2 linked regions of the Caenorhabditis elegans genome follow. The protein of the gene in region 2 interacts with the protein of the main gene of each other region in a pairwise test. Each region holds a gene or a part of one and is shown on either strand. Other genes may lie near its edges.

Region 1 (7,288 bases), 1.9 Mb from region 2:
TGGAAAATTCGGTAAAATTATCGACTTTTTGATGAAATTATTGATTTTTTGTTGAAATTATTGATTTTTCGATGAAAATATTGATTTTTTGTTGAAATTATCGACTTTTTGATGAAATTATTGATTTTTTGATGAAATTATTGATTTTTTGATGAAATTATCGATTTTTTGATGAAGTTATCGATTTTTTGTGGAAATTATTGATTTTTGTTAAAATAATTGATTTTTCGATGAAATTATTGATTTTTCGATGAAATTATTGATTTTTCGATGAAATTATTGATTTTTCGATGAAATTATTGATTTTTCGATGAAATTATTGATTTTTCGATGAAATTATAGATTTTTTGAAGAAATTATAGATTTTTTGAAGAAATTGTCGATTTCTGGACGAAAAAAACCGAAATTTTAAATTTTTGACAAAAATTATCCGGGGGCCTAGTTTTCCAGATTTTCTAGGCCACCAATCTAGTACCCCGAAAATTTCAAATTCGTAATCAGCCCGTCGAGAGCTTTTATTTAACACCCATCATGACTAGTTTTTTTGAAAATTCGCAAAAAATTTTGGGTCTCGCCACGAAAAATTGGAAACCTACAGTAAACCAGGCAAAATTGGTACCGTTTTGAAGATCTAGTTAAGCTCAGTTCAGATTATTGATTAGATTTCAAAAATATCGATTTTTCGCCGAGTTATGGCTGGTTAAAGTTGATGGCCTAGAAACCCGTGAGGAAAATCCCAGGCCACCAACAAAAAATGGCCATAACTCGGCGGAAAATCAATATTTTTGGGATTTTCAAAATCCAATCGATAGGGAATTTCATGGGCTATCCTATGGATCGCCTAACTTTCGCAAATTTGCAATTTTTTTAGGCCACATTTTTCTAGGCTTCACACCTCGTCTGCAACAATTTCGCCGGATTATTATATCTCGGGAATCGCATTTCCGTATTACATCCATCACAAATGTAAACTTCAACACGTGAGGCTCCGCCCTCTTTTTGCTCTTCCCGAGTTGGAGTCCCTTGGAGCCCGTCGGTTGAGCATTTTAGGGTGCATTTGGGACATGTTGGACGGTCGAACCAAGTGAAAAATTGAGTTTTAAACCAGTGGAGAAGGTCTGAAAAATTGAAAAATTAGTTAAAACCCGCGCGAAAATTGAGTTTTTAAAGTCATGGCCTAACTTTTCAATTGGTGGCCTAGAAATCCAAAACTAGGCTATAAAGTGAATATATCAAATTATAGGCTTACTAGGCTTTCGCTGACATCAGATCATTTTTCAGAATTGAAAAATGTGAATTTTCCGCCGAGTTACGGCGATTTTAAGTTGGTGGCCGAGGATTTTCCTAGGCCACTAGTTTAAAAACATGTTAAATTGTCTTAAAATTTTTATTTTTGTATGGCGCAGAATTAGATTTGACATAAAGTATTGGAATTTACTGTAAAATAAGCGAAAATTTACGTCTTAAACTGATGGCCTAACTTTTTATTTGGTGGCCTAGAAATCCAAAACTAGGCCACGCACTCAATATATCAAATTATCGGCTTTTGTTGATATCAAATAACTTTTCAGAATTCAAAAATTCCAATTTTCAGCCGAGTTACTGTAAATTTAAGTTGGTGGCCTAGGAAACTCCTCGGCCACCAACTTAAAATCAACGTAACTTGATGGAAAATCGATATTTTCAAATGAAACATAATCCAAATGATGGGTGTTATCGAAGTTCGATGAAAATTTGGCGAAAAATCGACTTTTTATATTCGTGGCCTAACTTTTTCCGGCGGTGGCCTAGAAATCTAAACCGAGGAAACACTGAATGTATCAAATTTGTATGTTTGATTGACTCGTGCTGATGTCAAATCACTTTTCAGAATTGAAAAAAGTGAATTTTCCGCCAAGTTACGGTGAATTAAGGTTGGTGGCCTAGGAGTTTCCTAGGCCACCAACCAAAAAACGCTGTAACTCGGTGGAAAATCGATATTCTTAAATGAAATAAAATCAAACTGGTACAGGAAGTACAGGAATTCCGCAAAAAATCGACTTTTCAATGTTATGGCCTAACTTTTTCTGGCGGTGGCCTAGAAACCCAAACCTAGGCCATGTACTGAAAGTATTAATTTTATCTTTCCTTTCTTCTTTTTCAACTCGTGCTGATATCACAAAATTATTCAGAATTCAAAAATTCCAATTTTTCGCCGAGTCACGGTGAATTGAAGTTGGTGGCCTAGGAAAATCCTCGGCCACGAACTTAAAAACGCTGTAACTTCGCGGAAAATTGATATTTTCAAATGGACTAAAAACCAAAAGCCATCCGATAGGAAATTTCGAAGTCTATCTGAAGTTTGAGGTAGTGTGGCCTAGGTTTGGATTTCTAGGCCACAAACTAAAAATCGGCTATAACTCGGCTGAAAATCAACATTTTCGCGATCCGAAAAAACCAATCGATAGGGAATTCGATTTTCTCGATTTTCTTCTTGCACCTTTCAAAATCGCCTTCTCATCCCTCGGCCCCTCGGTCATGGCTCTTCCCACCAGCTCCTCAGGCATAACACTTCTCGCCAGAGCCTTGAACACCTCATCCTGATAGCTTCTCGGTACGTTCGAACATTTGACAAATTGCTCCAAAAATCGCTTTTCCGAGTCAGAAGCCGCGTTGGGATTTGCCGGAGTTGGCGAATAGTGTTGCCGAATTTTTTCGGCAATTGCCTGCTGATTGGCTCCGCGGACCATGTCGACTTGCTGGCGATTTTTCAAAAAAATGAATGTCGGCATTGCGGAGATGTTGTACCGCTGGACAATGTCTGAAAAAACGCAAAAATCGATTGGTGGCCTAGTTTTTCAGTTGGTGGCCTAGAAAAAACTAGGCCACCGATTTATCAGACTAAAGAGTTGAGTTTTTAATTTCCTATCGATTACTTTTTGTTGCATTCAAAAATATTGATTTTCCGGCGATTTATGGCGGTTTTAAGTTGGTGGCCTAGAAACCTTCTAGGATTTTTCTAGGCCACCAATATAAAATAGCTGTAACTTGACGAAAAATCAATATTTTTGAATTTTCAAAGAAAAGTATTCGAGCATTAGCAAATTTTTTAAAGCTTTTAGAAAACATACAAAAACGCCTTCAAAAAAATTTTCGTGGTGGGACCCAGAAATTTTTCCGAATTTTTTTTAATTTCAAAATCGTCCAAACCTAGGCATGATGGGTGTCAACTGAAAGGTCTCGGCGAGCTGAACACGAACATTATAAATTTAGGGCCTAGTTTTCAACTTGGCGGCCTAGAAATTGGAAAAACGAGGCCACCACCAACTTAAAATCGTCGTAACTCGCGGCGGAAAATCGACATTTTTGAATCCGAAAAAACAAGATTTCGTGGCGGGACCCATTTTTACCTCTTGCCACGTCACAATTGACCTTTAAAAACGTGGCATTTCCGTATTCCGCGGAAAATTGCTCGAAAATCGGAGAAATCATACGGCACGGGCCACACCAATTAGCGAAAAAATCGATAATTATGAGACGATTCGCATCGGAACGCTGGAAATTGGAAATTAAAAAAATTAAAAATTAAAAATTTTTTTGCAGAATTTTATTGATTTTTTTTCAGAATTTTTTCGATTTTTTTTCAGAAATTTATCGATATTTTTTCAAAACTTTATTGATTTTTTTACAGAATTTTCATCGATTTTTTTCTAAAATTTTATTGACTTTTTAAAATAAAATTTTATTGATTTTTTCAAAGAAAAATGTCCTGCTCACCTCCAAAATATTATTGAGCTCTGGCAGTGAGCCAACTTCCGTTACCGGCATTTTTCGACTGAAAAATAAATTTTTAGCCAATTTTTTGCGCTAAAAACTTGAAAAAGGTATAATTGACATATTTACAAGTGACCAAATAAACTTTAAAAAAAAAGTTTTCTCGAAAAATCAATAATGTATTCAGATATTACAGGGAATAAGTGACAAGAAAAAAAAAATTAAATTATTCCTCTCGTTTTCGAATATTCCGATTTGCTGTCTTTTTCTTGAATTCGATCGGTCCTTTTACCTGAAAAAAGGGAATTTTTTTAGTGAGAAAAAAATCTAATGAAAAATCGTCGAATTATTACTTTTCCAGCGGGAAAAATATTGTTTTTTCGTGATTTTCCAAAAAAAATTTTTTCAGAATTTTATCGATTTTTTTGCCTAGAATTTTATTAATTCAAAAAACATAATTTTGTCGATTTTTCAGTAAATTATCAATTTTTTTCGGGAAAATATCGATTTTTCTGATAATTTTAACGATTTTTTTAGTAAAAAAATTTTCTTTTTCAACTAAAAAAAGTTTTAAAGGAAATTTTATTCGTTTCCAAAATGAAAATTTTAAATTTTTAAATTTTTCCGGCTCAAAAAAACCAATTTTCAGTGATTTTCAACCTTATGAAGCTCAAAAAGCTTTTCAGCTCCAAATTTTCAAGGAGAAGCTCAATTTCAGACGTTTCTTCATGGTATTTTCAAGCTTTTCCGTCTTAAAAAAAGCCTATTTTTATCGTTTTCCAAGAAGCTTTTTAGCTCCAAATTTCGAGGAGATGCTCAATTTCAGCACCTTTTTCGTCATAACACTGGCAGTTTTTTCTCCAAATTCAAATTTCGGTTCTTCTTGTCTCTTTTTCTCTTCTTCCTCCTTCCGTTCTTCTTCTTCTTCACGGAATCGTGCAGTTAGTGGAGATTCGAATATTTCCGTCGTTTTTTCACTTTTTTCGACACGTTGCCATGCTCCAAATGGTGCTCCAGGTGTTGTTGGAATTGATGGTTTTGGGGGCTCAATGAGCCCAATTTCTGGGATTTTTGGGGGCTCTTCAAGCTGCTCTTGGAGCTCCTCGGGAGGCGGAGTTGATGAGTGCTCGCGGAGCACCAGGGCTTCACGTTCTGGTGTTCCTGGAACAATTGAATTTTTTAAAGAATTTTATCGATTTTTAAAAGAATTTTTATCCAAAAAAATACAACTTTTGCCGAAAATTTCACGGTTTTTATGGGATTTTTGCGTGTTTTTTTCTAATTTTTTCGCATTTTCAGTCCGTAATTCGTAGGTTTTTTTTTGGTAATTTTCCAGCCAAAATTCAGCGTTTTATAGCGATTTTTTTGTAGAATTTCTGTCTAAAATATGCAATTTCCAGCCAAATTTCGGCGTTTTTCATCAAATTTTCATGATTTCTCGGGTTTTTTTCAGTCATTATTCGAGCTTTTCTTGTAGAATTTGAATTTTATCGATTTTTCCAAAATGTTTTCACATTTTCTGCCCAAAATTCAGCGTTTTAAAGCGATTTTTTGGTGAAATTTCAACCAAAAATGTGCAATTTTAAGCCAAAATTCAATTTCATCGAAGTTTTGCAATTTTTAGGGCTTTTTCATCGATTTTTCATCGATTTTTGGTCTTTTTCAAATTTTTATTGGTTTTTTTTTTTGAAATTCTACCGATTTTTGCAGAATTTTCACCTCAAAAATATGATTTTCGGCCAAAATTCGCCGAATTTTCAGTGTTTTTTTCAAATTTTTGCACATTTTCAGTCCAAAATTCGTAGGGTTTTTGGGTAATTTTCCAGCCAAAATTAAGCGTTTTATAGCGATTTTTGGCGAAATTTCAACCGAAAATGTGCAATTTTCAGTCAAATTTCGGGGTTTTTCAGCTCAATTTCATCGAAGTTTTGCAATTTTTAGGGCTTTCTCATCGATTTTTCAAGATTTTTGGTCTTTTTCAGCCATTTTTCGAGATTTCAGTGGTGAATTTGGCCATTTCCATCATTTTTCCGTCTTTTATCAATTTTTGAAAATAATTTTATTTTTCAAAATTTTTATAGGTTTTTTTTTCGAAATTTTATACATAAATTCAGTGTTTTTTCAGAATTTTAATCCAAAAAATACAAGTTTTGGCGAAAATTTCACAATTTTCATGTGGATTTTTGCTGAATTTTCAGTGTTTTTTTTTTCAAATTTTTGCACATTTTTAGTCCAAACTTCGTAGGTTTTTTGGTAATGTTTCAGAGAAAATTCAGCCAAAATTCGGCGTTTTATAGCAAATTTTGTAAAATTTCCGTTAAAAATGTGCAATTTTAAGCCAATTTTCGTCGAAATTTTAATTTTTATTAATTTTCAGGGCTTTTCCATCGATTTTTCATGATTTTCGGTCGTTTTTTCGAGCTTTTCGTGTTGAATTTGAGCATTTCCATCCTTTTTTCCGTACCAATAATCTCAAATTCCTCTTCATCTTCATCACTTTCTTCATCTGAAACATCTTCGTCTTCTTCTGCCTCTCTGCGTCTCTCCTCATCCTCTGCTCTCTCGGTGTCTTTTTGTCTGCGTCTCTCTTCCCACTGTGCTTTTTTCTCCTCTTTTGTCAATTTTTTGAATTTATTATTTGGTTTATCCACATAATTCTGCTCTTTCCGGTTGGCTTCTACTTGCTCCGAGAGCCCACTTTTTGAGATTTGAGCTTTTATGTATGATTCTACGTCGGTTTTTCCACTTCGAACAGCCTGAAATTTCGGTTTTTTGGGTGAAAAGTGACAAAAAAAATTATCGATTTTTTTGCAGAATTTTATTGATTTTTTTACAGAATTTTATTGATTTTTCTGGAATTTTATCGATTTTTTCCAGAATTTTATTGATTTTTTCAAAACTTTTTTTTTCAGAATTTTATCGATTTTTTTAACAGAATTTTTTGGATTTTTTCTTAGAATTTTATTGATTTTTTCTGGAATTTTATCGATTTTTTTGAAGAATTTTATTGATTTTTTAAACAGAATTTTATTAATTTTTTTCTAAAATTTTATTGATTTTCCACGAAAAACTCGACTTTTTCCTGAAAAATAGCGTTATTTTTGGGATTTTCAGACTATTTTTAACGAAATTTTTTAGAAAAACATGAGAAAATGGTGGAAATCCAAAATTTCAAGTTATTTCCGTACAAAAAGTCTCTAAACCATCGAAAATTAGCCGTTTTTAAGCAATTTTGAGCAATTTTGAGCCATTTTTCATAAAATTTTCAGCAATTTCCTGCCAAAAAATGGAGAAAAGCCAAAAATTTCGATTTTCCGCTGGATTTGGCTTAAAAATGTGTGGGTTTTAAGGTATTTTCAGTCAAATTTTAATGCGAAATGTTGGTTTTTCAGCTTTTTTAGTCCAATTTTCAGTCAGCAATTTCCAAGCTAAAAACTGAATTTTTCACGTAAATTTTCGGGGAAAAGTCCAAAAATTTTGATTTTTCGGCCGAATTTGGCTTAAAAGCTTCATTTTTAACGTATTTTCCGAATTT
Region 2 (7,381 bases):
CGTATTTCGATAGTTGCAGTGAATCAAAAATGTTCATGATAACTTCAGGCTTTGTGGAAATTGCAGACAAAGCAGCAACAAGACCACAATCTCCAACTTTTCTTTGGAACACCTCGTACGCGGTGAAAGTCAATGGATCATAAACTGACAAACTGGATGACACGTCGGCGAAAGGTACGGCTAATCGACGTCAGATTTTCGGGTAAAACCAAGTTTTCCAACTCTGAAAATTTGTTAGAATTCGTTAATTTACAGGAAGCGGGGATAGCACACGAAGAAACTATGTATTCGAACGTCAGGAATGATGCTCAAAATATTAAAAAATGCTATTGAACAAACCTCATATTTCCCATATGAGGTCCTAATCCTCTTCAAAAGTCATATAAGACTTGGGCTCATGTGGAAACTCTTTATCTACAAATGTAGATTTTGTCTTTCTGAAAATGCAATTTATTGCATAGAAACGTTTAAAAGACCCTTACTCGCAATATTCCATAATCTGCTTGAACTTTTCGTTCGATTCTTTTTTATTGGAATGATTTTCGATAACTAGCATACCTAATTCCTCATACTCTTCTTCTTTTTCTTCTTTTTCTTCTTTTTCGATTTCTTCGTCATTGTCGTTTTCATCTTCTCTATCCGAGAAAACCACATCATCTAGAGAGCACATCTTGTTTTAAATGTAGAAATGACTAATAATTTTTTTTTGAACTGAGTGTAAAAATTTTTTTCTTCATTTTCCACGTTCTCAAAAAAATAAATCGAACTCCACGAATAAATTTTAAATTTTTTTTTCGAAGTTCGGCAATCCTACAATATGACCTATTGCACCATATTGTCCCAAAATGTTCAATTAAAAATTAATTTCAGACTATAGAAAATCACTTGATTTATCCGAAAATAACATTTATTTCAGCCGGAAATCTTAAGGCAATTTATAACTTTGAGCATTTTTCAATTCGTATGATCTGAAATTAAGTTAGTTTTCAGATTATTCAAGTATTTCTCTATATTTTGACATTAACTTTTAATGAAAAATATTAGAACTACATGGCGCAGTAGACAATTTTGTAGATACTAATAGTACCAATTTTGAATGGCATAGACCAAATACCAAAGTAAAAAGTTGATGATATTATATCGAATCGTATCTCCACGTGATGTCCAAGTGTCTCACTTCGGTTTGATCTACGTAGATCTACAAAAAATGCGGGGTAAAAGACTCAACTGATTCTCAACTGATTTCGCATGGTTAAGAACGTGCTGACGTCACATTTTTTTGGCAAAAAATTCCCGCATTTTTTGTAGCTCAAACTATAGTGGGACAGCCTAGCACCACGTGTATCTAGAATAAATCCTGTCTATAAAACTGGGTATTTTTTTAAAAAACAGTTCAATTGGTTCAACTTTAACTTTATTTGGGCTTTGAAACAAATATTGAAACGCATTGAAAATTAGATAAAAGGTAGAAAAATTGAGCAAAATTAAAGATCACAATCCAGTAAGCTTATGGAGACGCGGAAACCATGTCTGGAATTTCGATATGCTCGAAACTATCCGAATCCGAATCCACGCGACGCTTGTTCTTCTTCTTCTCCAATTCTTGCACAGTGAAAGTATTCACTTCAACTTCGGGAATCGCCACAAACTTCTTCAGATTATCGCAGAATTTTTCCTTCTTGAACCTCCCATCTTTGTCTCTTGTGATAACTGTTGACAAGTAGTTCACAGTTACAAAAACGTTCGAAGTATGATCCTTGGAAGGATCATAGAGGAACTGTGGATAGTAAACTTGGCGGAATCCTTGGGTCATCGAATCATAAATATACTGCTCCATTCGTTCTGTGAACAAGTTCTCCGTGTGAATCACAAACTCATTGGTTTCCGGACAGTGCTCTGCATACTTTGGAACCAAGTGATCTTCCGATGTGGCGTCTTTGCATTTTGAGCATTTAAATGGCTCGAACCGGTGGTATGTTGGATGATAATCATACTTCTCATACTGACCAAGATTGTTTGAACGAACGTAGAGCACATCTTTTCGGGAGAGGGGACAATGTCGCACTTTGAACATTGGTAGAGTACTTATGAAGGTTTTGTTGTATGAGATTTGTTCGGATTCGTGTTCAGACTCAGATTCAGATTCTGAATCAGATTCTGATTCCACTTCGGATTCTGAACCAGACTCACTAGAGCTGTCATAAGCATCCTGCATCTCAATTTCTTCTGCGGACAATTGTTGAACAGGGACAGCGGGAATCTCCACGTGATTCTCACCAACTAACTGCAGCTTTACAACTCCGGGATCTGCTTCCTTGATAACTACGTGCTCACTTCCATTTGTGAGCAGCACTGGTTCTTCAGGTCCATTTTTTCCTCTATAGGTGACTTCAATGCATGAACAGTACACTTCTTTGAATCCTTTTGTTTCGAATGAAAATACATACTGTTCCAGTCGTCCATTAACTCTATTATACATTAAGAGCACTTGGTCCTCAATATGTGAGCACCATTTTGTCTGACGCAGAGATAAATCACACTCTTGAACTTCAACTTCACAAATCTCACACTTGTGTCGTCGGAAATCCTTCAAATTGTGATCATACGTGCAGAATTCGCGGCATTTCCATTCGTCGATAGTCTCAATAACTTCGATTTCTTTCGATAAGCAATAACGAATTGAAATTTTCTGAATGACTGCTGGTAATTTAGGACCTATTCTGTCTGATCTTGGGAAGTGGCTTGATATTGGGTACTGGCCAAGCGGGTTGAGATTGTAATATTCCATCCAGTCGTTTTTTCTTTGATCTGTATTTTTGGAACTGGGTTTTTATAATTTCCAATTTTCAAACTACGTACCTGGAATACTTGGAGCGTTTGAGTTAATCATTAGTGATTGGACATCTGCTGGATTGTGTGGATTCCCAGTTGATAAGCTTTTAGTGACAAGCTCAAAGCTCATTGAGATAATTTCATCAACTTCTTTCAACATCTTCTGTTGAAGGGCAAGTTCTTGGAGAATCTGAAATTTGAAAAGTTTAATCATGTGATGAGATCTTAGAACTAGAACTAGTCCAGGGCTGTAGGAAAACCGTGATTTTGGTAACCGGCAACCAAATTGGTCAAACATATAATTTTGTTGAAATGGTCGGTTTTTCGTTTACATAGAAATTTTAGCATTTTTCTGGCTCTCTGAATGTTTTTTTCTGAGGTAAAAAGTGTTTGACATTGATAGCGACAGTTGCCGAAATTGCCGAACCCCAAAATTGTCAGCAACCATTCATAAAATTTCAAAATCTCTTTTTCGGCACAAAACCAACCTTAAGACGCTGTCGGCTCGTTGATTCGAGTTGTGGGTCGATCATTAATGGCTGCAGTTCCAAAACTTTCTCTGACTCCGCCTCCCAAAATTCATCCTGAGTATCCTTCTCTGGATTTTGCATATGCTTTGCAGAAAAATACAGTTCGTTAACTGATAATCTTGTGGTTTTAAGCTTTGACATTACATCCATTAGTTCAACATATGTCGTTGCTTTGACCATTTGTGTGTAGATATTCGAGTATTCAGATGTAATTGTTCTAAACTCTAGAGGAGCAAATGGTTTCTCTTCGGGAAGAGAACTGCCGTTACGAAGTCGTTCAAAAACCATACTAAACTTGAAACATTTGTTGTTCTCTCGGATTTTCTGAAATTATGAGCTTTTAGAATAATTGCGGTTCAAATTGAGCTTACCTTATTGATTTTCTGGCTATACATGAATTCTTCTTGCTTGATAGACTCAGCATCGCATTTAGGTTCACATTTAACTTGTTCAATTACATCATAAATGATGTATGCAGATTCCGATGGATCGAGAAGTCGTGTTAGCATTTCAACACCTACACCAGGAAACTTTTTGAGAATGAGCTCGATAAGAGCTTGTGCTTGAGTTTTACGTTTTTTTCCAGGAGCCTGAAAATTTTCAAAATATACAAAAGAGCTAATTAATGAACATACCAGTTGTAGAAGGAGCTCCTTGCTACTTATAAAATATTTACAAAATTCCCAATCTTCCTGTGACAGTTTTTTAGATTTCTGCTCCCAAACAGATTTTTGAATGTCCTCAGGCGTAAAACTTTTTTTCGACATACAATGATTCAAATATGACAACATAAGGATCGGAGCAAGGTTTGGAGGACGGTCTTGGTCTGAAGTTCCAGCCGCATTGTTAGGAGCCGCTGGAGCTGATGCTTCGCCAGTTTCATTCCCAGTCGCAGTATTGGAGAAGTAACTGTCCAGTTGCTGAACAAGTCTCTCTTCGGTACCTGGAGGGTTTGGAGTGTTAGAGTCCGACATTGGCGCCTGAAAAAATGGTCTAAGTGAGTTTCATTGTGGAATGTAAAAAGGATGAGAAAAGTGTTGAAAGTTGTAAAAATCTAATTTTCTGAGGGCCCTCGAGCTATAATATGGTATGTCTTAAATATGACGTCATGAGAATTGGAGCAAGACTTGGAAGTGGATCCGACTCGTTGGTTTGAATTGTGAGAGCAGGAACTTCGACATTTTCATTTCTAGCTGGAGTGTTGAGAAAGTATCTGTCTAGTATCTCAACAAGCCTGCGTTTACGGTCAGAACGTCTAAGGTTTGGGAGGTCCGGCATAGTTGTCTGAAAATAAATTCTACATAATATAAGAGAAGCTGGGGAACGAAAAGAGCTGAGAAAAGATTAAAGGAAAGACTGACTCTGAAGGAAATATTATGTGTCCCCGCAAGACACCGCAAAAAACACAAAATCTTCCCTTTGGTTCGATTTAGAGATAAAGCAGAAATAACAAAAGCGGTTCAAATTATTTTAGTCGAAAATAACAAAATTTTGGCCGACTGTAAACGTTTTTCCTACTTGCAAAATTCTACGTATTTTCATTCATTTGGCTCAGAATACTTGGAAAACAATAAAATAAGCCATAGAAAGTCTCGAATAAAGTGAATTTCCATCTGCTGTTTGGCCGTTGAGTCGGTCGTCTACGGTTGTTCAGCCGCTTTTTGTTTGCCAATCAGCCATGTGCGGCTTTCCAGTAGCTGCTTTCGGAGCACATCGCTTAACGTGAGCCGTAAGAGATTACTAATATAATAAAAGAGAGATAAATTGAATTTTTAAATCTAGAAAGGCCTAAATTTTGTTTTTTTTAAGTTAAAGGAGACCGTCGGGACTTTATCAATTTTTCAAAATTTCAAAAAGAGGTAAAAAATTAATTTCAAATGTTTATACCTACAAAAACTAAAAACGCATATGTACTCGGCAATTCCCGGCAGCTTCTTTCCCAAGTTTGGGCCTTTTCAGCTTCTTACCAAACTCTTGCCAACTTCTAACCCAGCGTATGCCCAAGTCTTACCCAACTTCAACAATTCTAGTGTAAACTCCCTCGCCCGAGTCTTGCCCAAGTCTTAGCCAAGTCTTGCCAACTTCTTACCCAAGTTTGCAGATGTAAAGAACGAACAAGATTCCGAAATCCCGCATGCGCAATGTTTAGCGTAAATCGACACTTTGTCTTTTGATTAATTTGTATTTAAAATAGAGGAATTTCAATGTAATTGAAAGAATTCACAGGAAAACTTGTCCCTTCAAAGGCAAATTCTAAATATTTTTCTCTGATGGCTAACATTGTTTAAAAAAATGTACGATCAAAGTTTGATTTTTATTGCCATTTTGTCTAATAAACCATTTAATTCATCTAAAAATAAAAAGAAAAGTTATCTTCAGGATGATTCTTCTCCTAGTCAGTCCAATAGTCAAATAATAGTCAGTCAATCCTATGCATCAAATTTTGAATTTTTCTAAGACTGAACTGTTCCTTTGAAATGTAAACTTTTATAAAATTGAAAGACATGAAACAAACATGAATTACAGTAATTCTGTAAATTCTGAACTTAGAATCATTAGGGAGCACACTTGAAAACATATGAAATAAGGTATGTGAGAATACCGTATCAATCAGATATGTCTGATACTTCCTCAAAAATATCTATCAGAATATGAGTACGATATATTATTACTAGTGTGCATCTTTTCGCGCGACCATCATGGCTCAGCAGGTAATTCTTCGGAACAACAGGAAATGCGATCAAAGTTCAACACACAGGTATAAATTGGGTAAGAAATAGGCAAAACTTGGGTAAGACTTGGGTAAGACTTGGGCGACGCCTCCAAACGACGAGGCAGACCACGACTTTTTTCATTTTTGTGGCGGCGCCCAACTCTTGCCCAAGGTTTACCCAAGTCTTGGCAACTCCTTATAAATGTTTTTATTTTTTGGGCAAGGCTTGGGTAAGAAGTTGCGAAGCCTTGGGTAGGAAGCTGGCGGCAAACGCCGAGTACATTTTGTCCTCTTTCAAAAACATAGAATTGCTGATTTTTTGTTGTTCTCTTGAACAAAATTGTTGCGCAAAAATTCTGGCATAAAAACGTTGTTTTAGTACAAATCGACTGAAGGTATTTTATTGTAAAAAAGCAACGTTACAAAGAAAATTTCAGATATTAAAAGACAGAGAATGTTCGAATTTACAAATTTTTTTTTACAAATTACGAAAAAATAGAAGATTTTCAATCAATTTCAGATGGTGTCGGTTGTGGCGATGAAATCAATTGGTGATTTGTTTCTGAAAATTGGTCTTGTAATATTTCTAAAAATGATGTATAGTAACAATCACAAACCTGGAATAACCATTGCTTGAACAGAAGAACATTGTGACAAACTTGGAGTAAATCTTTGTGGCCAAGGAAGAAAAATCTCAACATTCGGCAGCAGATTCTTCATTTTCTTCTCAGCAATCTGCACGGCAAACGTTGCGACGGTAGTTTTCGGAAGCTTCACGAATTGCTTCTTCACCATACAAAACTGCTCTTTTCTCAGCTGTCCATCATCATCTCTCATAATTACTTCGACTCCCTGCATGGAATTTTGCTCTAGTATAAAGAAAATATTTCCCTCCTGTACTTTTTCCGAATCGTATACTAATCCTGGACAAGTGACTTGATGGAATCGCTTCTTCTCACAATCATATGCATATGTCTCCATTTTCTCTGTGAATTGGTTCTGGACGTGGATGATGTATTTGCAAGTTTTAGCACAATATTCGGAGTACTTTGGGATCAGATCATTTTCAGTGGTTCCAGTCTTGCAACAATCACATACATGCAAGTTCAGCTCGTTTTCATCGTCGTTCAACGAATATTTAAGGTACTGGCCGTTGGGTTGAAGCATGTAAAGGACATCCATCTCATAGGTTTGACAGTATTCTTTTTTATAGGTGGGAAGTGAGGTTATGTAGGATACGTGCTCAGCATCCAATGTCTCCTCAGGTTCAGCGTCAGATTCCGGTTCAACGTCTTCTTCCACGGGT

The links.
Region 1: the proteins of ZK1053.3 (region 2) and png-1 interact in a two-hybrid assay, tested with the Caenorhabditis elegans proteins (one large-scale study listed by BioGRID).

The regions. Positions count from the first base shown.
Region 1 is NC_003279.8:11,376,757-11,384,044, reverse strand, and holds the start of png-1 (Peptide-N(4)-(N-acetyl-beta-glucosaminyl)asparagine amidase), read right to left. Parts: upstream 3,815-7,288; 5' UTR 3,808-3,814; coding exon 3,757-3,807; intron 3,535-3,756; coding exon 3,390-3,534; intron 2,801-3,389; coding exon 2,480-2,800; intron 2,424-2,479; exon of another isoform or gene 2,353-2,423; intron 1,119-2,352; coding exon 896-1,118; intron 1-895. Other genes in the region: wbp-4 (U1-type domain-containing protein), read right to left, coding at 3,980-4,045, 4,583-4,914, 6,218-6,509. UniProt on the Caenorhabditis elegans protein: Specifically deglycosylates the denatured form of N-linked glycoproteins in the cytoplasm and assists their proteasome-mediated degradation. Cleaves the beta-aspartyl-glucosamine (GlcNAc) of the glycan and the amide side chain of Asn, converting Asn to Asp.
Region 2 is NC_003279.8:13,243,808-13,251,188, reverse strand, and holds ZK1053.3 (LisH domain-containing protein), read right to left. Parts: upstream 4,337-7,381; coding exon 3,998-4,336; intron 3,953-3,997; coding exon 3,734-3,952; intron 3,687-3,733; coding exon 3,321-3,686; intron 3,023-3,320; coding exon 2,860-3,022; intron 2,809-2,859; coding exon 1,508-2,808; 3' UTR 1,411-1,507; downstream 1-1,410. Other genes in the region: ZK1053.4 (SET domain-containing protein), read right to left, coding at 6,582-6,637, 6,693-7,381.